Linked DNA regions of Caenorhabditis elegans. The protein of the gene in region 1 purifies or fractionates together with the protein of each later gene. This does not show direct contact. Each region holds a gene or a part of one and is shown in the gene's direction. Other genes may lie near its edges.

Region 1 (14,336 bases):
TATTGCTTGCACATGGCGCCAACAAAGAGCATCGAAATGTCAGTGACTATACTCCATTATCGCTAGCTTCATCCGGAGGATATATTGAAATAGTCAACATGCTTTTGACTGCCGGATCCGAGATCAATTCGAGAACGGGAAGCAAATTGGGCATCTCGCCCCTGATGCTGGCCTCAATGAATGGACATAGAGAAGCGACGCGGGTTCTACTTGAGAAAGGAAGTGATATCAATGCTCAAATCGAGACAAATAGGTGAGAAATTGTTTTCTCCGCGCAAAAACCAAACCATTTTCCAATTTTTCAGAAACACTGCGCTGACACTCGCCAGTTTCCAAGGTCGTACGGAAGTTGTGAAACTTCTTTTGGCATACAACGCGAATGTCGAGCATCGTGCAAAAACTGGTCTCACACCATTAATGGAGTGCGCGAGCGGTGGTTACGTGGATGTCGGAAATCTGTTGATTGCAGCTGGCGCTGATACAAACGCGTCTCCTGTTCAACAAACCAAAGACACTGCATTAACTATATCAGCAGAGAAAGGACATGAGAAATTTGTGCGAATGTTGCTCAATGGGGATGCTGCTGTTGACGTTCGAAACAAGAAGGTTTGATTTTACTACTTAGACTTTTATATTTCTTTACACAATTATTACATTTTAGGGATGCACAGCTCTCTGGCTCGCATGCAACGGAGGCTATCTTTCGACTGCACAAGCATTATTAGAAAAAGGAGCTGATCCCGATATGTTCGACAATCGAAAAATATCGCCAATGATGGCCGCGTTTCGGAAGGGACATGTGGAAATTGTAAAGTATATGGTAAACTCGGCCAAGCAGTTTCCAAATGAACAAGATCTGATTCGTGCTCAACAAACAGCTGAAACAGATGATATCAAAAAGAAGTGTGGAGAATGTATTGATATTATTCGATCAGCCAAAAAAGCACAAGCTGAATCGGCAGAGTTGGCTGCGCAAAAATTATTGGAACTCATTGATGAGGAAAAAGTTCAAAAGGAGGTGAAAAAGCAAAAACAGAAGGATAAGAAGATCAAGAAGAAGGAGGAGAAAAAGATCAAGAAACAAGAAGCGGAGCCGGAACCTGAACCTGAACCTGAACCGGAACCAGTTCCTGAGCCTGAGCCTGTTGTAATTTCTGAACCTGTTCCGGAACCAGTACCTATTGTCGTTGAAGAACCCCCAAAAGAACCACCAAAGCCAAGAAGAAATCGAAGAAAGACAAATCCGGATGGCGTACCGAAAGGACCAAAAGTTGTTGTTGAACCAAAGGCATCAATTGCTGAAGAACCGTCTGAAATGCCATATGAACCTATCGTCGTCACAATCCCTCCCCCAGCTAAGATTCATGCTCCAATGGTTTCTCCAGGATCGTATTCTGAATCAGAAGAGTGGTGTAAAGCTGGAAAAGAGGGCAAAAAAGTGAAGTCTTCTAAGAAATCTGGTTATGGAGCTCCTTCGAGTGCTGGATCGAGTCAGGCTAAAGAATCATCGACAACTTCAAGCGTTATATCTGATCAAACGCCACCATATGAAATTGACACGGTATGTGTTGCCTGTTTATGGACATTTGAAAATAACTATTTCGTGAAATGACGGCACTTGAAAACCCCTGAATTGAAAAATAGTAATGTATTATTATGGTAAACAGGGAAAATTGTTTGTATGTCAGACAGGAATTTTGAATAAATAAAAATCAACTAGAATGACATTGGAAATAATATGCAATGAACAATTATTTTTATTTCAGAGAAATGAGAGCAGTTGGAAGCTTACGATTCCCGCTTATGCTGCATCACGAGTGATTGGAAAAGGCGGATCGAATGTTAATGCTGTTCGCGAAGCAACTGGAGCCATCATCGAAATCAATAAAATACAGGAATCCAACAAACAAGCTGAAAGAACAGTTCTAGCAAAAGGAACACCAGAAATGGTGAGATACGCGATGAACATAATCAATTATATGATATATGATGCCGATGTCTTGGTCACCGATGCAATTCGGACAGTTCTTCGCGGCAATTTGTCAGTTGCTTCGTCATTTTCATCTGAAGGTACATCGAAGAGTGCAGTTGATTCGACTTATGCTCCATCATCCATTCCAAAATCTTTATCTTCAGCAAGCATTGCTCGTCAATCTGCCTCACCTATTCCACAACAATCGTCTCAGAGATCCGCTAAATCACACCATCATCAGAAGGACTCGGGTGGCGGTAATGTGTGGCATCAAAGAATGGCAGCACGAGAAGAGAAAGTTGAGCCCTTAATGGAAACGAAACGAATTTCACAGTCACCGAAGCAAGCTCCACAAATTCCATCTACGCAGCAGCAATCAAAGTTACAATCCCGGCAGGATCAAGCGTCTGAGACTCTTGTTCGAGTTGCTCCTGCAGAGAACTTTGTTGCTCCAGTGCCCGCTTCTTCAATTGCAGCTCCATCGAGACCCAATCGTACGTTTTCCTTCTCCTTGTCTCTGAATAACTTTGTTTATTTTCAGAAAATGTTCTTGATCGTGTTATTGCTCCATCACTCCGGAGAGAGCCAACCACAACTCCTCTGATTCAACCAGTTCATCCAGTTCAATCTGTTCAATCTGTTCAACATATGCAACAGCAACAGCTAGCGCGACCAGAACAAAAGCTTGCTCAGCCATGTCTTCCAGACCCAATTGGTCAGCGATACTCGCAACCAATTTCACGACCACAATCATCGGTTCAAGTTTCGCAGTCTTCTTTCTCCAAAGCACCCGGAACTCGCCCTTCAACTGATTTCTCTCGTGCTCCTGGTCCACCACAGCAACAACAGACTCAAAACAATATGACTACAGCTCGAAACGAATTGTTTGATGAACAACTTGCTTTTGGTCAATTCAAACCGACTGGAATGAATTCTGTTGCTACCGTAATCCCTGCCAAACCTTCAGTAAATAATCAAAACGACGACAAAAATGGAAACAGTGATGACTTCGATTTTTCCAAAATGAGAATGTTTGATGAAGGCAAAGTCGGGAACATATGGGGAAAATCAGATGAAGATTCAGCTTGGGGAGGATTGTTTTCTCAATTCCTTCCACAATTGGGTGCCAATTCGAGTTTGAACAATTCCAACTCAAAAAATGATTCATCGGTTAGTTTAACAGCATTGAAAACAAATTTCTAAATTTTTATCTTATTTCAGAATGAATGGGGACAAAACGAGTTCATATCGCAGCTTCTTATTAACTCATCACTTCCTAATGCTACTTCGAGTCCACAAGGTGCTTCAACCATATCATCAGCACCAGTGCAGCAGCCATCTACGTCTTCTGTTACTACTGGATTATCTTCTTTGGAACTGAAAGGTTGGATGCCAGCCTCATTTGCACCGTCTGCTCGTGATCCGAATAGATCTCAACCACCCCTGTTTGCAAGATCTCAATCGAATTCTGTTGCTAATAGCACTTCCACGAATATTCAACAGCAACAACAACAGCAAATTCAACACCTTCAACAGCAGCAAGCACTACAACAACAACAGCAAAGGATTCAGCAATTCCAGCAACAATACCAACAGCATCAGTCTCAAAGTTCTCAGCAACCAAGTGACTTGATGTCTTCAAAGTTTTCAATGCTACAATCACAACAACAGCAGCAGCAACTTTACAATCAGATGCAGTCGCTAGGTCAAGATGGACAGGGATCCAATCTGTATAACCATGTAGGGATCCGTGATTTATGTCTGAAAATACGTTATTTGATTTATTTGCAGCTTGCCGCCCAATTATTGACTCATCAAGAGAGTTCTACAGGAGCACCTGGTCCAACAAGTAGTCAACTTGCAAATAGCTACTATCCATCACCTTCGTATACGGATGCCAGTGTTTTAGGGCAAATTAGCATGCCGTCATTGTCACAGAGAGGAATAAAGCAATTTGATGGATTTAATGTAAGTTTAGGACAAATTTGATGTTAAGATAGCAGGATCAGTTTAAAAATTAATGAATGGAAATTTAGAATGACTCTGATGGCGTTATTGCTGCTATTCTCGAGCAACAACAACAACAGAAGAAACAAGGACTCGCACAACAATCGTTCATGCATAACTCTCAACAGCCACAGCCGTTCGGAGCTCCCAGCAACGCTTCTGCAAATCAATCGCGACTCGGAATGATCCAACCTCGGCCCCAACCGCCACCATTTGTTGCTCCACAAGCTCCACCTGGATTCTCTTCTCTTGGAAATGCATCTTCCACGACGAACCCATCTCGAACTTCTATGCAGCAAATGTATCAGCAATACGGACAGAGTTCACAGCAACAGCCTTACGGTCAGATGCCTCAAGCGTAAGTTCTACGATTTCTAATTAAATATTTGTTTATTTATTACAGAATGGATTGGAACCGACTTGGACAGCAACAGCAGTCTGCATCTGGCCAACAAAATCATCAGTCATCCTCGTCAAATAAATGGTCTTCCAACTGGTAGATATCGCTCACAAAATCGTCTTCTTGTCAATTAGTCCCCCCTCCCCTCATAATAATTCGGTGTTTACTTGTTTTTTATTCAACCGTGAAACAATATGTCTTCCCGGTTGAATTGCATCCATTTTTCTTTATTTCGTCTCCTCGTTCCGGGTTTTGTAACACTTTTTCTTCATTTTAAATCTAGCCTTTTTTGGTCCATTTTTTCTTTCAACTCTCAAATGTTCGATCTTTCCCATCCCTAGCAAGTGTTTTCTTGCGAGCTCAGCCTTGTGGAAATTGTACTCTTCTGTCCAAATTATTCCCGTTTACCCATTTTTTGTTCTTTTTATATCTCCCCCGACATACTACTTCTTTTTTTTCGGTTATTTTTCAAGTCTTCCAACACAACACATATGTATTTGAGACGGATGTCAAATGGTCCCAACTTTTTCTTCCCTTTATTGAAAAGTGTGTCTTATTTTTCACTTTTGATGTTTTACTCGTTGTTTCATATGAAACCTGGGCATTTATTTCATTGCTAATTAATTATGACTTTCTTCGCTTTATGTTGATCCATGAATCGTGATTCTTGAAAGTATACAGGTTAGGCTATTGAAATGTACAACTCGAGGTTTTGATTCCTATATCTTGAGAATTAAGTCGGTAGATGTTGAAAGAACAAAAATTTTCAGAAAAATGATTTCATCAAAAATGCTCACAAGACTGAACCGGAGCTTTGTACAAGCAGGTGATACTGGTTCCAGAAATTCTTTCATTTTTTAAAATTTCAGCTCGATCAATGTATATTCAAGTTCAGGAGACACCTAATCCACTTTCTTTAAAATTTTTACCTGGTTAGTGGAAACTTCACTGTTTAAAATCTGAAATGTAGTATTTCAGGTCAACAGCTTCTCCCAGACGCCTCGAAAACATACGATTTCAGCTCAGCGGCTACAGCAAAACAAAGTCCACTTGCTATGTAAGGAATATTCCAAATTTTAACTACCATTCAGATAAAATAGTATTTATTTGTAAATTTTCAGAAAACTTCTTCGAGTCGACGGAGTGAAGCGTGTGTTCTTCGGAGAAGATTTTGTAACTGTCACGAAATCAGATGAGACTGTTGACTGGGCTCTCCTCCGTCCGGAAATCTTCTCAACAATTGCTGATCACATTCAAACCGGAAAACCTGTCATAAATGAAGCTGCAACTGTTTCCGACCAAGTGGAAGAAGATGATGAAGTTGTAATGATGATCAAAGAAATTCTAGAGACACGTATCAGACCAATGGTACAAGAAGATGGTGGAGATATCACTTATGTTGGTTTTGACGATGGTGTTGTCAAATTGAAGATGCAAGGTTCATGCACAGGATGTCCAAGCTCTGGAGTCACTTTAAAAAATGGAATTGAGAATATGCTCACATTCTACGTGCCTGAAGTGAAGGAAGTTATCGAAGTTAAGGATGAATCCGATGATCTTGTGGAACAAGAGTTGAAGAAATTTGAGCAATCAAAAGGAATCAAAGACTAATTGATAATTGATTCGTGTATAACTAGATTTGTTTTTATTAGTGTTTGCTGCTAGAGATAAATGTTCAATGAATATTTATAAAAACTTTTTTATTACTTTGAAAGTCGTATTAGTAGAATTGGTTTATGACTCTGAAATCATCGAATCACGTCAAAGTTCAACGGCCCAGTCCAAATCAGTGATATCAGTTAAAAGACTTATCACCCGGAAAAGTGGAAAATTGTGCTTCGTAAATTGATAAGAAATCAGTCAGAGTGCTGCTCAAAATGTTGAAACAAATTCTTCTCGTCGCTATTATTTTAAATTTAGGAGTATCTGCGTATAAGAAGAAAAGCTTGATTCATGTTAGTTTTTTTTTCAAGTTTTTGAATTTTCAATGTTATCCAGACGCGGAATTTTGCTATTTTTGCGGCTGGTTCGGTTTCTGAACGACATCATTTTAATAAATGCGGAAGGTACGCGCCTTTAAAGTGAACTGTATATCCAAACTTTATTTGCTGCGGTCAATTCTTCATAGTTTTTCGAGAAAAATATGTTTTTTTATTTATTAAACAAACTACATTTTGAAATCAAAATACAAAAATCTTCAGAAAAACATGAGACAACAACTTTTGCATTTATCAAAATTTTATCGTGACGAGACCGGGTACTGTCGCTAAAGTTCGCGTCTGAGTAATTGTGTCTGTAAATTATAAATTTAGAATACTGTAGAATATAAATTTATCAGAATCATGACAAAGTGATCGTATCAAACGACGACTTTATTGGATGCCCAGTTAACAATGATTTCTATTACAATGGAACCATTAATTCACCATTGTATCCATACAATTATCCTCCAAATGACAAGTGTTACTATTACATTTCTGCTGAACCAGGAAAAGTTCTCAAGATTTCATTCTCTCATTTTGATTTGGAATCTTGCTGTGACTTCATCACAATTTATGATGGACCAACTGTAGTGTCGAAGAAACTTGTACAGTAAGTTTCTATTTTTTCACAATTTTAAATAATTCAAATGTAAATAAGATACGTACGACGTCGTACGTATATAAGAACATACGCACAAGCAAGGGCTGTCTTTTATAAAGGTGTTTTAGGTTTTTGGTTTTATGCCAAAAATTGTTTTCATAAACGATTTTGTATTTTTTCGTTCCAAAAAAGTTAAAAAAGGGTAAATTTTGGTACTGAGGTAAAGTTATTTCGCCTGATCACAGGCACAAAATGACAGGCAGGCACATAGGCAGGCAAGAAATGTGGGACAAACGCCTTAAGATGTGCATGCTCAAATAGATTATATCTTTGAACTTTTCATTGACTGGAAATTGAAACCTCATTTATCTACTTTCCGAGTAAAAATGTCAAAAGTTCAATTATTAATTGACATGTACGATGCACCAGCATCATCTTCATAATCATCATCCATTTCCATTGATTGTTCATTGATTGTTCCTCTACGTTCCAGAAAGTTTCTCCAATTTGGTGCCACCAAAACGTTCAATGCACTTTTGGCTCTAGGAACATCAGGAATAAAACTGAATCGAGATGCATTCGGTTCAGGGAGCAATCTTTAAAAAGTTATTGTTGAATTTCGAATCGAGCTAAAAATTCTTTAAAAATTAACATACATTTCACAAGTAGCTTCGACTTTCTCCGTATATCCAGCCACTGAGAATAACCATCCTTTGTAAGAACATGCTGCACTAGTTGATCTTCCATAGATCAACTTCTCCGGTCGTTGCTGCCATTCACCAGTTCTGTGCCACATCCAAATCTTGTTTTGTCGTTCGGCACCATCAAATCCTCCAACAATAAGCAATTGGTTACCGTGGTTGAGAAGACAATGACCAGTTATTGGATACGGTAGATCAACAGTTCGAGAGAAAACATTTCCAATTGGATTGTAGACTTCAACAGACGCAAGAATCATGTCACCATTGAAACCACCACTAACGTAGATTTGATTCTCAAATACTTCAGCAGCACAGTCGGAACGCATGTCTGATAGGCTTCTAAAAATATAAAGCAGATTAATCGGGATACAAGCAAAACATTATAAAGATGCAGAAAAACCACTTTTGAAATCGACATGCAAACATGCTCTACGGTCAATTGATAACGCTCCGCCCCCGAACCATGGGTCTCGTTAGGTATTTGGCGGCAAAACTATTCCGAAATCGATGTCATTTCCTTACAGTTTTTTTTTCCACCAAAGGGCTAACGAGGCCCATGATTCGGGAGCAAAGCGCTCTCAATTGGCAACGGAGAGCATTTCCAAGTCGATTTAAAAACGCCACAGGGCTTACGCAGTTTCAGTCCATTTATTGGTCTTTGGATCGAAAACCTCTCCTGTACGACTTCTCACTGCAGTTCGAGTGATCTCTCTGAAATTCTGTCCTCCAAACACATAAATCCTCCCGTCATACACCACAGAACTGTTTGAAATGTAGTTTCGTGGTTCCATCATATTATTGCATCGATCCCATTGCCACGTTTCCGTTGACAATTTCCATGTTTCGCAACGAGTGCGCTGACCAGTCGAACCACCGAACAAGTAGAGAATTCCATCAACAATTGCTGATCCATGATATGCAAGTGTTGTTGGTAGCTTCTGCTGGGACACTTTCCAGCAGTTATTCTCCGGATCAAACCATTCAATTCTATCACATGCTTGTCGATGAAGCCATCCACCGATGATGATGAGAACATCTCGAGTTCGGCGTGCTGGTTTAAGTGACGGATGGAATTGGGACAATGATTTGGCAATCTGTACAAGTTAATGAGTTTAGTTTAGAAACTGAACTTTAAAAAAACCTGTTGGTCCAGAGCCAAAAATCGAACAGTTGACATGAGCATCGGACGGAATTTATCACGATTTTCAAAATCAGCTGCAATCCATTGATTGATAACTTCAATAATTTGAGTCTCCTGCTCAACATTTACTTCTTCACTGCTCAAAAGATGCTTGACCTCTTCCACTGGTAAACGATAAAATTCAACATCAACCCGTTTGTCGACAACTACCATTCTCGCCTTAATTAGTTATTTTCAAATTTGATTTCTATTTAAAGATGGGGGAATATCGTGAGAACTTTTGAATACTCGAAATAATTCAAAAATATCACTTTTAAATAACTTCTAAATTTTGAACGTACCAGATTGTAAAGAATATATTCAAGTGTTTTGTGTGCATGGTTCTGGCAATCGAATTCGCGAAATTTCTTGTGAAGAAGAAAACAGTTCACATCTGACAACGTTGACAGAATATGATCACAAATCGTATTTTTCATTTCTAAAATTTTTGGAAAACAATGTTGACCAAATCCTGCAATTTCTTCCAGTGATTTTTCAATTCCAAACCATCCCATTTCATCGGTACTGTCTGAGACTTTTTCCAAGCCGAGCAAATACTTGACCTAGAAGTTAACAACTACATTTTCTGAAGTTTGGTAACAATAAACAACTTACTGTTTGAGTAGTGAATGGTACCAAAATGTTCTTTTGCATTGATCGAGGACTCAATGCTCCAAGACGATTTAGTTCTCGAGCAATCTCTGATTCCACAAGTTTTACTTCAAAACGTTCTTCATCTTTGGAGATTATTGCCACATCACAACGATTATCGATTGATGTTAATTTTGAATTGCAAAATCGCATTTCGAGAGAATTGCTAAGATTGAGAAATGGCAAATCGTTGAGGAGAAAATGAGAAATGGAACAACCACGCGGGCTTGTATTTATTGGAATAGTTATTTAATTTAATTTATTAAAAATAGTTTATTCAATCGAAATTTAAAAAAATGTGTTTAAAAAAGTAATTTTATGAAGCGCCAGATTGTGTTCTTCTCTTCAAACGTTAGAAGTCTAATGAGAAAAATTTCTAAAAATAAAGTAATCAAATTTCATGAAAAGTTAATAATCCGGACAAGTTTTACTCATTTATCGTAACATCCTTCAATAAAACATTAAAAAATATAGATTTTCGATGAAATTTTTCGAAAACCTTAAGGGGTCCTACATCGCGCGTACTGTAGTAATCAAAAATATGTGTTTTTTCTTAGAATCGGTGGACCTGGATCTAATGTAACCAGTGCTGGAACTTACTACACAACGACAAGAAACGCCGTAGTAACTTTTGAATCAAACCCAACTATTCAGAAATCTGGATTTTCGATGCAATATCAGTCGGTGAATAGTGAGTTTTCTAAAATTTCAAAAATCTTGAAGCAAAATTTTGTATTCAAAAATATTTTCAGCCGTGGCACCATGTAACCGTGACATATTCCTGATTGTAAATGGGTTAGCCAACGTTGGATCCCAGGCAAATTACCAAAAAGAAATCAATTTTATCGCCAATCAATTGACACCAACTTGGAATGTCGGACTTGATAAAGTTAGAGTTATGCTCAACCTTCAGGTGATAATTTGATGAGTGACAAGACAAAAAACATATCAAATTTCAGACAGACATTGATTATGCAATTGTTTGGTCAGCTGATGATGTTCCATCAAATGCCAATGTTACACAAGAAGTTCTAAATATGTTGGAATATGTTCCAGATGTTACAACAGACAATAACATGGATCTTGAATGTCTTTTCCGTTATGCTTTTGACGGTCTTGATGATAGTAAAGAATTCGATGAAAGATATGGAATCGAAAAGGTTGTCATCATTTTTGTGGCTGCCAATGCAAAGTTTGTTTATTTTTCAAAAAATCTTTTGTTGAAACTGTAAACAATTTTGCAGTAACGATCAAGATTACAATGAATCATTCGAGTTTGCTCATAAAATTCGAACAGAACAAGATGCTAAGGTGATCGTTGTTGGTATGGGATCAGGACTTGATCAAACTCGCTTGTCTAAACTCGCATATGCCTCTGGATATGCTTTCTTTTCGACCAGCTATGATAATTTATCATCATTGATTCCAAAAATCAATAATGCTATTTGTTCGGGACTTAGTTCTCAATGTGGACCATAGATTTGCAACTTTAAAATAGATCTATTGTCGTTGGAATGTGAATAAAGTTGTGATACGCAAATGGCAACTTTCCTCTATACAATTTTTAATCTCTTTGGAATTGCAAGGTATCTACAGCCAATGTTCTATTGGTGGTTCTATTGGTTTTGCAGTTACTTGTTTGAGTTTTTCAAACACGTGTAATATAACTCAAATATTATAACAGTTATTGTCTGAAATTTAATTTGAAACAGAGGCGTTTAAACCAATTTTGAAAAAGTTTACGAACTTGTGAACAGTTTGAAAATTGTTCATCTGAATGTTCTGTCAAGGTTATTAGATTTTCAAGCTAGTGTAAGCTGCAATCTGATTGTGAAAAAACTATTCATGGTTTCCAAAATAAAAACTAATTCCAAAAAAAAAGAAGAAAATCACGGGGTCAAAAAAAACTTTTAATTTAAAATAAATACTAGATACAGTTTTGATTAAAACCTCTGATCGAAAAACATTCAATATGAACGTGACTTGCCCATAGCCTCGTTTTCTCCTCCAGTAATGGGCCAAAAGAATGGGCCAGAAAGAAAGGGCCAAAAGGCTGTATTAAAAGCAGTTTGCAGTTTTGGAAACTTCAAATATCCGGCAGTTTTGGTCAATGGCACTGGTACATCAGCTTTGGCTCAGCATCGCAATGGCCTAATGGCTCAGAGGAGGTGGCTGTGTGGCCATCACTCAGTAGCTCAGTAGCTCAGTGGCTCAGAGGTGGTGGCTGTTTGGTCATCTACATTGTGGCGGAGTATGGGATTCGTTTGTCAGCTTTGGCTCAATGGCTTGTTGGCAATTGCTAAGTGGCTTAGGGAAGGAGGGTGTATAGTCATCGCTCAGTAGCTCGGAAGTTCAGTGGCTCAGAGGTGGTGGCTTTATAGTCATCGCTCAGTAGCTCAGTATCTCAGTGGCTCAGAGGTGGTGGCTGTATGGCCATCTGCATTGTGGTGGATGTATGGGATTGGTTTGGCAGCTTTGCCTCAATGGCTCGTTGGCAATTGCTCAGTGGCTTAGAGAATGTGGCTGTATAGTCATCGCTCAGTAGCTCAGTGGCTCAGAGGTGGTGGCTTTATAGTCATCGCTCAGTGTGTGTGGCCATCCCGTGACTGTATGGTGGCTATATGAGCTTTTCTACTAATGATATGTGACAGTATTTTAACAAACGTAAAAGAAACATGATCATTAGTTATTGGACAAGACTTTTCTACGTAAACCAGTTAAAACGAAATACGTGTTTAAAGTAATATGCTAAGAGATTGGTTTTGTCAAGTTCCGAGAAAATTTGATTTTCATCTCGATGTAATATACTTTGTTCCGCTGTTCAGATTTTGTTGCACCGAAAAATATTCATTTTGAAATAGAATTATTGCAAAAATAAATCTAATTAAATTCTACAGTCAACTAATTAATATTCATGTCCATCCTCATCGACGTGTTTCTCCATTTTCTCCTTGACCAGAGAGACACGGTGTGGTCCAACTCGCAAATTGTACTTTGCTCCTAGCTGGAAAATGTTCTGATTAAACTTTTGATCTCTTTCAATCACTCTTCACCTTTTCAAAAGCAGTGACTTCATCGGTTCTTCTGATGAAGGCAAAGTTGATAACGAATGTTAGCATGAATACAATCACTGCAAAAGCTGCTCCAACGAAGAGTGGTGCTGCGTAGTCAAGTACTTCGAACTGTTGTTTTGGCATTTGTCTGACAATTTAAGAAATTCAACAGTTTAGGAAATTGTCTCATAATTTTCAGTGTTAAGATAAAATATAGCTTCTTTAAAAAATTCCTAAAATCATCTCTAATCAATCTAACTGATAGTATTCTCAAAAGTATTCAGGTTTGAGTCTGTACTTAAACTAATGCTCAGAAAAGCTTTTGTGAATGCAATATATAAGACTTCTCAAAACTAGATAAATATCTACAAGAGAAGTACCCGCTAGAGCGCAAAACCTATAAAGGAATGTGAAGATATTCTTTGAAAATCAATGCGTTTGATGTGCCAGAAATAAAATGTAACCATAGAGACACAGAAAGTAGAGACGCAGAATCAGCCGGATATCCGACTAGAAAAAAAAAATGAAAACGAGTTTTATAGAAGAAATGAAGCAGTTGAATATTATGGGGAACTTGTTGATGAAGGATTAAGATGATGGGAGGATATGGGGGTGGATGACTGGAATATTGGAACAGATAAAGAGAAAAAAAACAGACATTTATGGTCATATAATTTCAGTATTTAGGAGAAGATCAAATGGCCGAGATTCCAGAGTTTTGAAATGGTTTATCAAGTGATAATCCACTAACACAGTTGACTCGTTATTTGCGCGTAATGCTTCAGAAAGCACAATATATTTTATTGGCGATGTGTGCATCATGCCTTCAAATGCCGATGATGTGAAATTTCTGAGGAGACACATCGCAAGTTAACAATACGAATGAGAAGAATTCCTTTTGAATACAGCTACAGAGGGAGGGTAGATATCTAGAAATGCATCTTCTCTTTCACAAGACACTGAAACCTTTTCTTGGTAGTAATTTGACAGGCAAAAATGAATTCGAGAAAAAGAAGGTTGCATGCGTTATTCAGAAAAAAAAAAGAAACTTTCATAAACTGGGAAGAGGTTCGACAAAGCACGCAACAGCATTTCCTGAAAAGATTAGTACAAGTGGTTCACAGAATACAAGAGCTTTTTCTAATCTTCTCTTTTGGTATTTGCCTGGAGTTTGAGACACCATTCAAGCACTGAAACTTGAAAAAAACGGGACTGAAAACCAATTTCTGCAAGAGAAAAGTTGGAGCAGTAGTCGAAAGTTGACGAGGAAAAGGTAACGCATTCTTTGTTTAAAACCAACTTTTTGGTTCCATGTTTAGCTGCCAAATTGTGCCGGTCGAGTAAACTCACGATTTGTGAGCTTTTCCCAGTTTCCATAAAGGTCTCAGCTTTCACAGCTTACAAATACATAGATGAAGTTCCTTTTGATGCCAGACATTTGATATTTTCACTTTGTTTGATGACTATTGTTATTATGTATATTATGGTAAAAAACGTTATGGTATCAAAATGTTCATTCCATTATCTTTTCTTCGTCCATTACCTTATTCATTTACTTTCTGTATTAAAATTTTCCGACAGAACAATTCCCTCAATTTGAATGTGGATGTATTCTAACTGTCTGACCACATCAGTGTCAAAGTGCTCGTTTCAGTTATTTGACATGAAATGGACCTTTGTTTGGTTCCGAGTTTATTCAAATCTCTTTTTCTTGTCTAGACATATAATACGACAATTAGGAAGTTGATTGTTTATGAAATGTTATGAATTTATCTATTAAAGAAAGTTA
Region 2 (10,346 bases), 5.6 Mb from region 1:
CATATAGGTTAGAACTGGAAGCAGAAAACATGGAAACAGCTGAAAATTATTTTTATTTTTAGGAACCAAAAATTAGTTCTTGGTTAATTGCTTTAGTAAAAACAAAATTATCCCACTTTGGAAATTGTTCCATTAATCAATTGATATACTTTTCCTACAAGTCCATCGTTAGCCTGGTAGACTTTGGATTGTACCAAAGTGAAGATAACACGAGATTCTGGATAACTCGTTGCAAATGTGCAACTGAAAGTGTATTTTTAATTAGGCAAAGGTTGTTAAATCTGGATTACTTATTCATAGGCTTCCAGTCTCCAATTTTAACGATATCGTATCGGAAATAATATATTACAGTTAATGGAATGCTTGATAACAACGTTCCAATAACTAAAGTGAATCCGAATTTGGGAAAATTAACTTTTCGAAATGCTCTTCTCGTTGAAAACTTCAAGACGATCAGTCTGATTGTGGCCATAACTACGCTGAGCCACGTGGATGTTCGACGGAACAAATCATTAATTACTACATTGATCCAGTACATATAAAAGAATGAAAGTGGTGCAGGTGGTTCACTGGAAGTGGAAAGATGAGTTGATTTAACATCGGGTTACAAAAGTCAAGTACTGTTTACTACGTGATCTCTTTAACTACGATTTAACCACATAGATCTTTTACTACGTTGGGTTACTGTAGTAGTACTGTGGAACTAAGCTTTTGAATAAATGTACTTTACCAGGGTTTCACATTAAATTCCAAAATCAAATAAAGATAGTTATAAATAATAGAGACAAACATCACTAATATATCACAAATAGCGATTCCTATCATTATCAAGATTACGGACGATTTTAACATTGAATTTCGAGATAAAACGAATAAATGGAATGATGTTGTAAAAATCCCAATTGATGAAATTACAATATTAATGATTATTGATGGATGGACAAACTTTCTGGAATTTGACGGTAATATTACGGGATTTTCAAAGCTAAAACTTGCTCAACAGCTATAAGAAAGAAATATAAATCAATTCTAGTCGCATTATCATAGCTGGGAAATGCAGAAGTTGATAAGTTATAAAGAAGCACTCTGTCAATCATTTCATTCAAATTCAGCTTAAAATAACTGAAATAAATAATTTTTACTATATGAATACACGTGGCCGCGAGTTGTGACATTTTGATGCAAATGTTTCACCTGCTTTTCGGTTTGAAGGTCGAGAGTTGTGTGCTGCTTTAAACCCATAACAAGAAAAGTTTATCAGAAAACAATATAAATGAAAGGAAAATAGTGGAATACGGGATAATTTGCAATAAATGAGTTGTTTCATCAAGTGGTGTCCGATGGACCGAAACCTTGAGGTTGTGTTGATCATCGGACACCACAATCGAATTATTTCACTTTGTAGCATTCAAGTAACGGAATTTCGGGAGACAGAGAAGATGGGAAGATAATGTCTGAAAAGGATCGAAAGAGAAACAATGGATTTTTAGGGGGAGAAAGAACAGAAACCGGGGGAAACAATTAAAAACCAATAATTTAATCAATTTAGCGTCTCTTTCCGTACTTGTTCTTGCCACCACGATTTCCGCCGCGACGAGTGTCCTCTTTAAATCCACGACCAGCTGCCAAGTCCTCTTCCCGAATATTGTCCGAATCATCTGAATCTTCGTCTGATTCCTCTTCAGAATCATCGTCCGATTCTTCTTCCTTATCCGATCCTGCCTCTTCGTCAGACTTCTCCGAATCACTGTCTGATGAATCTGAGTCAGACTTTGCTTCTCCGGCCTCTCCCTCGTCTCCGACGTGATCCACTGAAAAAAAATTGAACTTCATTAATTTTCAGCAAAAATAAACTTACAGAACTCAACCTCTCCCTCGTCTTGTTCATCGTTCTCATTGAGCTTGGCGTTTTCTGGGATAAGTCCCTCGTTCTTCAAACGGCGAGCTTCATCTGGGGTGTACTTCAGAATAACATCTCCCTTGTCGTCTTGATAATCTCGGAGACCGACGAGAATGATATCTCCCACGTTGATCCAAACCTTCTTCCTCAACTTTCCACGAATATGGCAGACACGCTGCTTTCCATCAAAACAGAACACTTGAACACGACCGTTACCAAGCATTTTTGAGACTTGTCCATATTCTGGAATTAATGCTTTTGTTTTTCGGGAAAGAAGTTATAAAATCTACCTTGTCCCTCCTCCTTGAGGTCGAGCTCGCGCTTCATGAAGTCGTTCTCATTCTTTCCTCTTCTGCGATTCTTTCCTCCCTTTCCCTTATTCTTCGGCATTGCTGAAAATATTACGAAATAATTTGGAAAGTTGAAGTTACGAGAAATACAGAAGCAAAGAGGACTGCAAAAATTGTAGAAAAAACAAGAACATAAATATGCATAAGGTAATGTCAGATTTCAATGGAATTTAACAAAAAATTAAGAAGAATGAGTATACTATCCCAAAATAAACAGTTTGCTTGGATTTCGTGAGTATTTTGATGAAAAGTGATTTCTAAAAATTGGAAATAATAATTTTATCAGCGCTTGAGATTAAAATTATGTCGTCAATCGACAAAAATAAACAAAATAACAGAAGAAAAATTTCAATGAAAAATCGACGAAAATGTGGAGTGCACAGAAAAGTGGGCGGGGTTTGCTATCGCAAGAGCGCGGCGCGAGGTTACGTAACTGCGGACTTGGCGACACAATTTACGACACTCGCTATTTTTATTTTTTATTTTGCTTATTTTTTATTTTTCTCTCTAAAATTTTGTTGTTTTAACGAATTGTTTTCGGAAAAAAGTTATTCAGAATCAAAGATTACTTCATAGAATATAATTATTGTCCAAAATATAAAAGAATTGTAAGATAAACATCTCAAAACGAACATTTAACCGCAAAAACGTATTTTGGGAAAACAATCACAAACTTTTCACGCAAAAGTGTTTTACCTACATTTTTTTGTAGTTTATTAAGTCACAAAATTAACGACATCATGAAAAATACAGCAGATAATATTTTTCTGTCCGAAAGCTTTCCCCAGTTTAGTTTTCTCCAATAGAAAAACTCCAAGTTTTTTATAGCGTTTTCGAGATGAGCTTTTTTTCAAATTTTCTGAAATGAAGTTTGAAGTTTGTATACAACCCAAAATATATGTTTATCACCGTGCAATATCACAAATGTCGTCATCGCCTTCTGTCCTATTTCGCAATCATTAATTTCCGCAAATCTCTCTGAAAAAGAACTACAATTCCAGCTATTCTTGCATGGGAGAGCCTCTGGTCGCCGAGCCGACAACTGAGCAGACTCCGTTGAGCACAAATTCAGTTGCTTATCAGAGCTCCGACGCGCTTCCAGATTCCTCAGAAGCATTCGGAGTAGAAAACGTTTATCGTGCTTTGATTATCTTCTGTGATAATTATTCGTTGGATAAAAAACAAGTGCGTTAGAGAACATGTTTTTGAGATTTTCGAAATTTTAACGTGAATTATTGTTCTTGTTTCTGTCTAAAATGGCCAAAATTTGAAAATTTCAGGTAGCTCTCGGACTCTTTCTTTCTATTCTACTTTTCATCTTCTCTGTTGGCACTATCATTGCGTGGAATCGATATTCACCAATCATTCAGGAGTTTATCATAAGAGAGAACATTGAGAAAGCGAGAAATAAGAGCAACGAAAAAAATAGTAAGATATTTAACAAGTTCTGCACTGATAACCATTCCAATTTATTTCAGAGAAAGAAGAATGAATAGTTTCAAGAAATTCCTCAACAAAAAGCGAGTCCAGAATCACTTCAAAAAGAGCGGTGAAGGTGTTCGTTTGTCATCCGGCGAGTCATCTTCGCAGCCTTCTGCCCACGCTGGAGCCGCCCAGGGAGGCCAAATTGATCGTGTCGCGGCCGCTGATATTGCTGCTCAGGCTGCTTTCAAACGGATGCAGAAGAATGAACCTCAACAAAATGCTGGAAAACGAAGAATTCAAATGATTGCAAAACGAGAGCTGGAAGAAGAGAGACGTCAGGTTGAAGATCTCAACATTTCTGGGACTTCATCACTGCAGCAACCCGACCGTGAGCAACACCTCGAGCATTCATCCGCAATATCACGTGTTCTCTACACTTCCGAGTTGCTCGGTGAGCATCATATTCGCTCGAAAGCAGATCTTCTTGAAGATATCAAAAATTTCCTTTCTGATCAGATCAGCGAGGCGGATGATGAAAACGATAAAGTGATTGCCGCAGTTTTGATGCTCTATTCACTTAATAAGAAACATCCCAAGGAGGTTTGTGTATGCTCAGAATTTCAAAATATCGAAAAAAAATGAACTCATTCTGGCTAAAATCTCCAATTTTGTCAACTTTTGTGTGTTGCAGCGGTCGGAAAATGTTTTTTAATCTATTGTAATAGTTTCTCACATGTTATAATAACGTTATTTCGTTATTTAGCCAATTTGATCATTTTTAGCTAACAATAGGCTAAAAAAGTTACTTTGTTAACGGAATATTTCGGCAAATTGAAGAGTTTCGCTAAAATTTGCCCGTTTTTTTTTTCTCAAAATTTTGAACCGCCATCATAGTTTTTGTGACATTTTTGTCACATTACCGTTGAAATTAAACTATCTATCCGCAAATTTCGCAAAAATCAGCGTCGCACAGAAAGAAAAAATCAACACGGATTTTTGTAAATCTGCGAATCGGTCGTTTCACCTAAACTGTACGAAATTCGTTGTTTTGGTAGAAAAACAAACAATCTTCTAAATTTCAGACTGCCATCGAAACAATCTGCAAGTATTGTCAAAACATTTTGGAACACCCAGGAGAGGATAAATACAAATCAATTCGTTTGGGAAATAAGGCATTCCAAGAACGAGTTGCATCAGTAGTTGGAGGACGTGCATTCCTTGAAGCTGTTGGATTTACTGAGAAATCTGAAGGAGAAGACAAGTTCCTTGTGTTCACAAAACCATCAGATGTTCATTTGGTGGAGGCTCTGGAAGCTTTGAAGGATGGGCAGGCTGTGCCTATAAAGGTTGCTAGAAATCTAGAGATCTTCAAGCTAAAAGAGGGGCAAAAACCGAAAGCACCAAAGTTGGCAGATGATTTTTACAATTTGTCGACTGCTGAACTCAAAGCCGAACAGAGAAATAAGGAGATGCAGGTGGAGAGAGTGAGTGGAGCTTTAAATTGAAAAATCACACAATAAATTGAATTTTTAGATGCTGACATTGCGTACGAAGGAAATGAGACAAAAAGACGAACAAATGACCAATTATCGCTACAAATATACGTTGATTCGTGTCAGATTGCCTGGAAATTTGTTGATGCAGGTATGTATATTCCAGAAATTCAAGTGATTAATTATTTTATTTTATTTTTCCAGGGAGTATTTGGTTGCCATGAACCATTTTCCGCAGTCCGTGTCTTCGTTGCTTCAACTCTTTCCGATGCTCTTTCGACATCCGAATTCACTCTTCGTGACGCTGCCAGTCAACTCGTGGAGGATGAATCTGCATCGTTGGCTCAACTCAGTCTTGCTCCAGCTGCTCTTCTTCATGTCGTCTTCGCTGAAAACCTGTCTGATTATGGACAAATCGTTGCCGATGAGCATATCGAAATTATCCAGGAGCTTGAAGCTTCCGACTAATTTTTGTATAATTTAAAAATATAATTCCCGGCTATTAGTGTGATATGTTTGTCATTATTTTTTTCCGGTACTGCTGATGTTTTATTTCGCCTAATCGCTTTCGTTGTATTTAACTTATAAGATGCAAAAAGATTCGAGCAGCATATTAAAGATTTTGTACAGAACCGCACTTTAACTGTTTCTCTATTCGTTGTATATCGATTTTTATTTTGAAAATTATTCACTCTATCAAGAAGAAGCCGAAATTCCGCCCACTGCATCTTTTTTCAGTTGTGCTTCTCCAAAAACCATTTTCAGATGTCACAGGATCCCACGATCTCCAATTTTTTAAATGGAAAACCCATCATCGCACCTGTCGGGCCATCTTCTTTATTAACCAGGTTACTTTGAAGCAATTATTTAATTTTTAAGAAAAATTAATTCGAAATTTAAGATTACAATCGTTCCTGCCTCAAATGGAAGAAGCCAATCGAAATATGCCGGAAAACGCGTCAGCTGACGCTTTTCATATTGAAAATGTCGAGGATGACAGCTCGGACGACAGCGATTCGAATTCAGAATCGATTTCGGAAGAGGTACCTGTCACAACTGACGAAAAGAGCACAGCGAGTAGTACACAGAGGATTGAAATTGATTTAGACGTGTTCAAGGAGATGAACAGCGCAGTTGATGACAGAGATGTCGGAATTCAGAATGTCGAAGCTCTTCCAGAAGCATTTCAGTCAAAAGGAGAGGATTCGAAACCGGAAATTACAAAGAAACCGTTGATTGAAGAATTATGAAATTTATGTTTTTTCTATTGTTGTGAATTTTTTGTTGAATTTGTTACTTTTTGACCTACCCCTCGAAACATTTTCTCACATTGCGAAATGAATCAATAAAATTTCGATTTTAGATTTTTATTCATTTATCTCATTGGTTTCTATCCATTTTTGAATTACCTTCCCATTTTTATTTATCTCTGCCTTTTCTAAAATTCTCCGAAAACTTTTCCGAAATGCAGCGTCTTCTCCTTCGTAAAATGTCGTCTGCTGTGGTGACAAGTGCAGCTGAGTATGATGTGAGAGCGTTGGAAAAGCTCAAGGATCTTTATGGCGATCTGGCACAAATTCCGATTCCAACTCAAGGACGAATCGAGAAGAAGTCAGGAGATGAGTTCATCAAAGTCACCACGACTTGGGATAACCGTGCCATGCAGCTGAATAAGTTGACTCGTCAGCAACGTGTCAGCTTGATTGGAAAAAAAGGACCGGAAGTTACGGATCGGTATCTGATGACGTCGGTTTCGGTGCCAATGTGTAATTATGAGTTAGTAAACAATTATTCGGAGATTGAATGGAGTCTGTGGGAATTTTGCCAAAAATAACAGAGAACAGTGACAATATGACGAATAGAACTGCTGAAATAATTATAGAATTTCGCTAAATTTTTTATGTTTTCTTTTCATTTCGCGGAAAACCCAATACTTTCTTTAGAAAACTGCATAATATTTGAGTGTCCGCGTGATGCATACACTTACGCACATAGTGCGTCGGAGAAAACGCTCCTGAATTCACTTTTTTTTTTGAATATTCCATTTTCTTCATTCTTTCAGGTATTTCATGCTTTTTTCGATTATTTATCACAAATATGTAGTTGAAATTGTAAAACTAGTTAAAATTTTCCTTCTTTTAATAAAAATTGAATTTGGGAGCGTTTTCTGTGACGCCTTTTTTGCGTGAGTGTAGACAATGCGCGGGTGCTCTAATATAATTCAATTTCAGCCAAATTGAAAAGATTCCATGATTATTTTAGCGGTTTTATTCGGTTCGTTGATATTTTTTCTCTTGGTATGAGAAAATACCCCCGGCAGACGCTACTCTATCTTTATGAATATGGAATAAATTCTAATTTCAGAAACCAAAGAAGTGTGTATTCCGCATCAAACTCCCGTGTTGCTCAACTTCTGACCATCGGAACTGGAGACGATAAGAAACAATATTTGAAGATCTACAATCTTGAGGAACATGTGGAAGAGCTTTGCGCTGATCTTTCCACTCAGAAAAAGCACGGAACAATTCACGGTGGTGGTTGTATGCCGTTCGGATGCCTTCACTTTTCGTACGGGGAGGGGCATGTTTTGTACGTGGCTGAGAGAAATTCGAAAACTTCGCAATACTTTGATGCTGATATAGAGTGGGATAACGAGACGAAGGTTTTCGAAAGCAAAGTGGTATAGATTAAATAAAAAATATAAGTTTCGATTTCTAGAGAATTATTTGCAGGGCAAGAAATTCGAGCTCACCGAGTCATGGGGAGAGCAGAACGATGGTGTCAAGCAGCCGGTGATTTGCATTGTCGACATCTCCAGTGGAAATGTGACAGCTCTCGATCAAATTCCTGCGAATATTTCCCCATCCTACACGAAATGGGCTCCAGGAGATGCTGGCGTTGTTTTCTTTGGCCTCGAAGAGCAGGACACCCCACGGCTTGGCAGAATCTACTGCAACAATCGCCGTGGAAATCTTTACTACTATGAGCTTGCGACCGCAAAGCTGACGAAGATCAGTGAGGGTGAAATCTCGGCTGAAGAATTGCAATTTTCGCCCGACGGAAATACTTTGGTGTGGTTCCAGAGAGCAGCAGATGGACCACATCAAGCAGTTCTTGAAATGGTAGCTGTTGAGTGGCCATTGAAAGTAGATTCTGCTGAAAACATTGAGAAGCGAATCATTGTTCCGATTGTGAAGGAGAAGAGATCTGCAGACGAATTCCAGGGATTCACATTCCCACAGGTACTCAGGCAACTCAAATCTAATATGAAAATATTAAATAGCAATATTTTTGTAGTAAATACGAGAAATAGTGCGTCCATATAAGATTACTAAAAATTTCGAATAGATTTCGATTTTGTCTCAAAAGATTACTAATTTGTCTCAAAAGACTGTGAACTCATCTCCGAAGATTGAGATTTTGTCTCAAAATATTGAAAATGCAAAAAACTGCTTCATCGAAGATTTTTGGAATTAAAGTTTTTTCCTGTATTTCGATATGTACATGAGGAAGGGACAGAATATAAGGCAATATAATTACCGATTTTTCAAAAATCAATATTTACAGACAGCAACTCGTTCTTGGTCTACTGATTCCAAGCGTCTTATCCTTTCAAGTTCCTGGTGCAGCAAGTTGGAACTGCTTTCCGTTAACATCGCAACTGGGAACATTGAAAAATTAACCAATCACTCCATATGCCTTGGAACTTGGTCTCTTCTTGATGTCTATGATAACGAAGTGCTCGCAGTCGTCTCTGCTCCGAATCGCCCACCAAACGTTCTTCTGGGACAACTTCCAGGGACAGGAAAAGCCGAGGAAATGGTTTGGGTGCGAATCGACGAGGCGAAGGCTGTTGATAAACGTCGTCATCTCTTCGAGTTCTCCTGGGAATTTGTGAATCTTGAGCGTGACGGAGCGACTTACGAAGGAATTCTGATTGTTCCAAATGAGGGAAACAATCTTCCAATGGTTGTGAATCCCCATGGTGGACCTCATGGTGCATCCATGGCAAGGTGAGTTACTTTTTCCCTTTTTTAAACGTTTTTCATTTAAAAGTTCAGCTGGCCACGTCGGGATCTTACTACTCTTCTCAACTCTGGATATGCCGTCCTTCAAGTCAATTTCCGTGGATCACTCGGATTTGGTGACGATTTTATTCGTGCTCTGCCTGGAAACTGCGGAGATATGGATGTTAAGGATGTTCATGTAAGGAGAACATTTTTTTAAAACTTTCTCTGTGTTATGGCAAGACTCAACCGGATGTTATAAAGCTTCAAAGTTCCGAAAATCAACCTCTTCGCCCGAATAACTTGAATTTCGCGCAAAAATTAACCCACTTACCGATTAATTTATTTTTCTGGAATTTAGTCGATTTTTCGTGTTTTTATATTGAAAATTTAAATGTTTTCTGACAAAACTTTTAACAAAAGTCAAAAATAATACGAAAAATCGTTTTTAGATTCAAAAAATGAATAAATCTATCCGCTGAAAATCCATGAAACACATTTACGCGCGAAATTTAAACAACGATAATGATTTTCGGTAGTTTGAAGCCTTTAAACATCCGTTTTAGACATTCTTGTGCTGTTTTGCATATCGTTTTGTCAAAGAATTTAGAACGTTTATTCGACTACACCGCATGTATTATCAATGTAATTAATACTAATTCAGAACGCAGTTCTCACCGTCTTGGATAAGAATCCACGTATTTCTCGAGACAAGGTTGTACTCTTCGGAGGATCTCATGGAGGGTTCCTGGTGTCTCATTTAATTGGACAATATCCAGGATTCTACAAAAGTTGTGTTGCCTTGAATCCAGTCGTCAACATTGCCACAATGCATGATATCACTGATATTCCTGAATGGTGCTATTTCGAGGGAACCGGAGAATATCCAGACTGGACAAAGATCACGACCACCGAACAACGGGAGAAAATGTTCAACTCTTCGCCAATTGCTCATGTGGAGAACGCAACTACTCCGTATCTCTTGCTCATTGGTGAAAAGGATCTTCGTGTCGTTCCTCACTACAGAGCATTTATTCGTGCTCTCAAGGCTCGTGGAGTTCCGGCAAGGTATTCTTGAAAAATTGTTTGCAAGAGAAATTGTTTTTTTTTTCAGGGTTCTCACCTACCCACCATCGAACCATCCACTTGATGAGGTCAACGTTGAGGCCGA

Evidence for each region.
Region 2: the proteins of R10H10.3 (region 1) and H06H21.11 fractionate together in Caenorhabditis elegans (co-fractionation; one large-scale study listed by BioGRID). This does not show direct contact.

What each region holds. Positions count from the first base shown.
Region 1 is NC_003282.8:10,382,264-10,396,599, forward strand, and holds R10H10.3 (CUB domain-containing protein), read left to right. Parts: upstream 1-6,241; 5' UTR 6,242-6,256; coding exon 6,257-6,334; intron 6,335-6,717; coding exon 6,718-6,971; intron 6,972-7,314; exon of another isoform or gene 7,315-7,359; coding exon of another isoform or gene 7,360-7,558; intron 7,559-7,618; coding exon of another isoform or gene 7,619-8,002; intron 8,003-8,296; coding exon of another isoform or gene 8,297-8,757; intron 8,758-8,804; coding exon of another isoform or gene 8,805-9,023; intron 9,024-9,145; coding exon of another isoform or gene 9,146-9,406; intron 9,407-9,458; coding exon of another isoform or gene 9,459-9,647; exon of another isoform or gene 9,648-9,664; intron 9,665-10,051; coding exon 10,052-10,185; intron 10,186-10,246; coding exon 10,247-10,407; intron 10,408-10,453; coding exon 10,454-10,686; intron 10,687-10,738; coding exon 10,739-10,973; 3' UTR 10,974-11,031; downstream 11,032-14,336. Other genes in the region: Ankyrin repeat and KH domain-containing protein mask-1, read left to right, coding at 1-253, 306-606, 662-1,561, 1,767-2,466, 2,514-3,142, 3,194-3,712, 3,764-3,940, 4,009-4,337 and 1 more; nfu-1 (NFU1 iron-sulfur cluster scaffold homolog, mitochondrial), read left to right, coding at 5,154-5,205, 5,249-5,311, 5,358-5,436, 5,501-5,990; Spermatocyte protein spe-26, read right to left, coding at 7,360-7,558, 7,619-8,002, 8,297-8,757, 8,805-9,023, 9,146-9,406, 9,459-9,647; R10H10.4 (DUF3149 domain-containing protein), read right to left, coding at 12,400-12,498, 12,548-12,691.
Region 2 is NC_003282.8:4,802,880-4,813,225, reverse strand, and holds H06H21.11 (uncharacterized protein), read left to right. Parts: upstream 1-5,906; 5' UTR 5,907-5,933; coding exon 5,934-6,016; intron 6,017-6,069; coding exon 6,070-6,418; 3' UTR 6,419-6,529; downstream 6,530-10,346. Other genes in the region: srw-95 (G-protein coupled receptors family 1 profile domain-containing protein), read right to left, coding at 1-39, 117-243, 291-569, 731-949, 997-1,097; eif-1.A (Eukaryotic translation initiation factor 4C), read right to left, coding at 1,546-1,811, 1,859-2,143, 2,191-2,290; H06H21.37 (uncharacterized protein), read left to right, coding at 3,262-3,435, 3,531-3,678, 3,729-3,742; ubxn-6 (UBX domain-containing protein 6), read left to right, coding at 3,739-4,275, 4,758-5,159, 5,209-5,319, 5,373-5,636; dpf-5 (acylaminoacyl-peptidase), read left to right, coding at 6,658-6,944, 7,533-7,848, 7,901-8,410, 8,736-9,181, 9,230-9,374, 9,840-10,243, 10,290-10,346.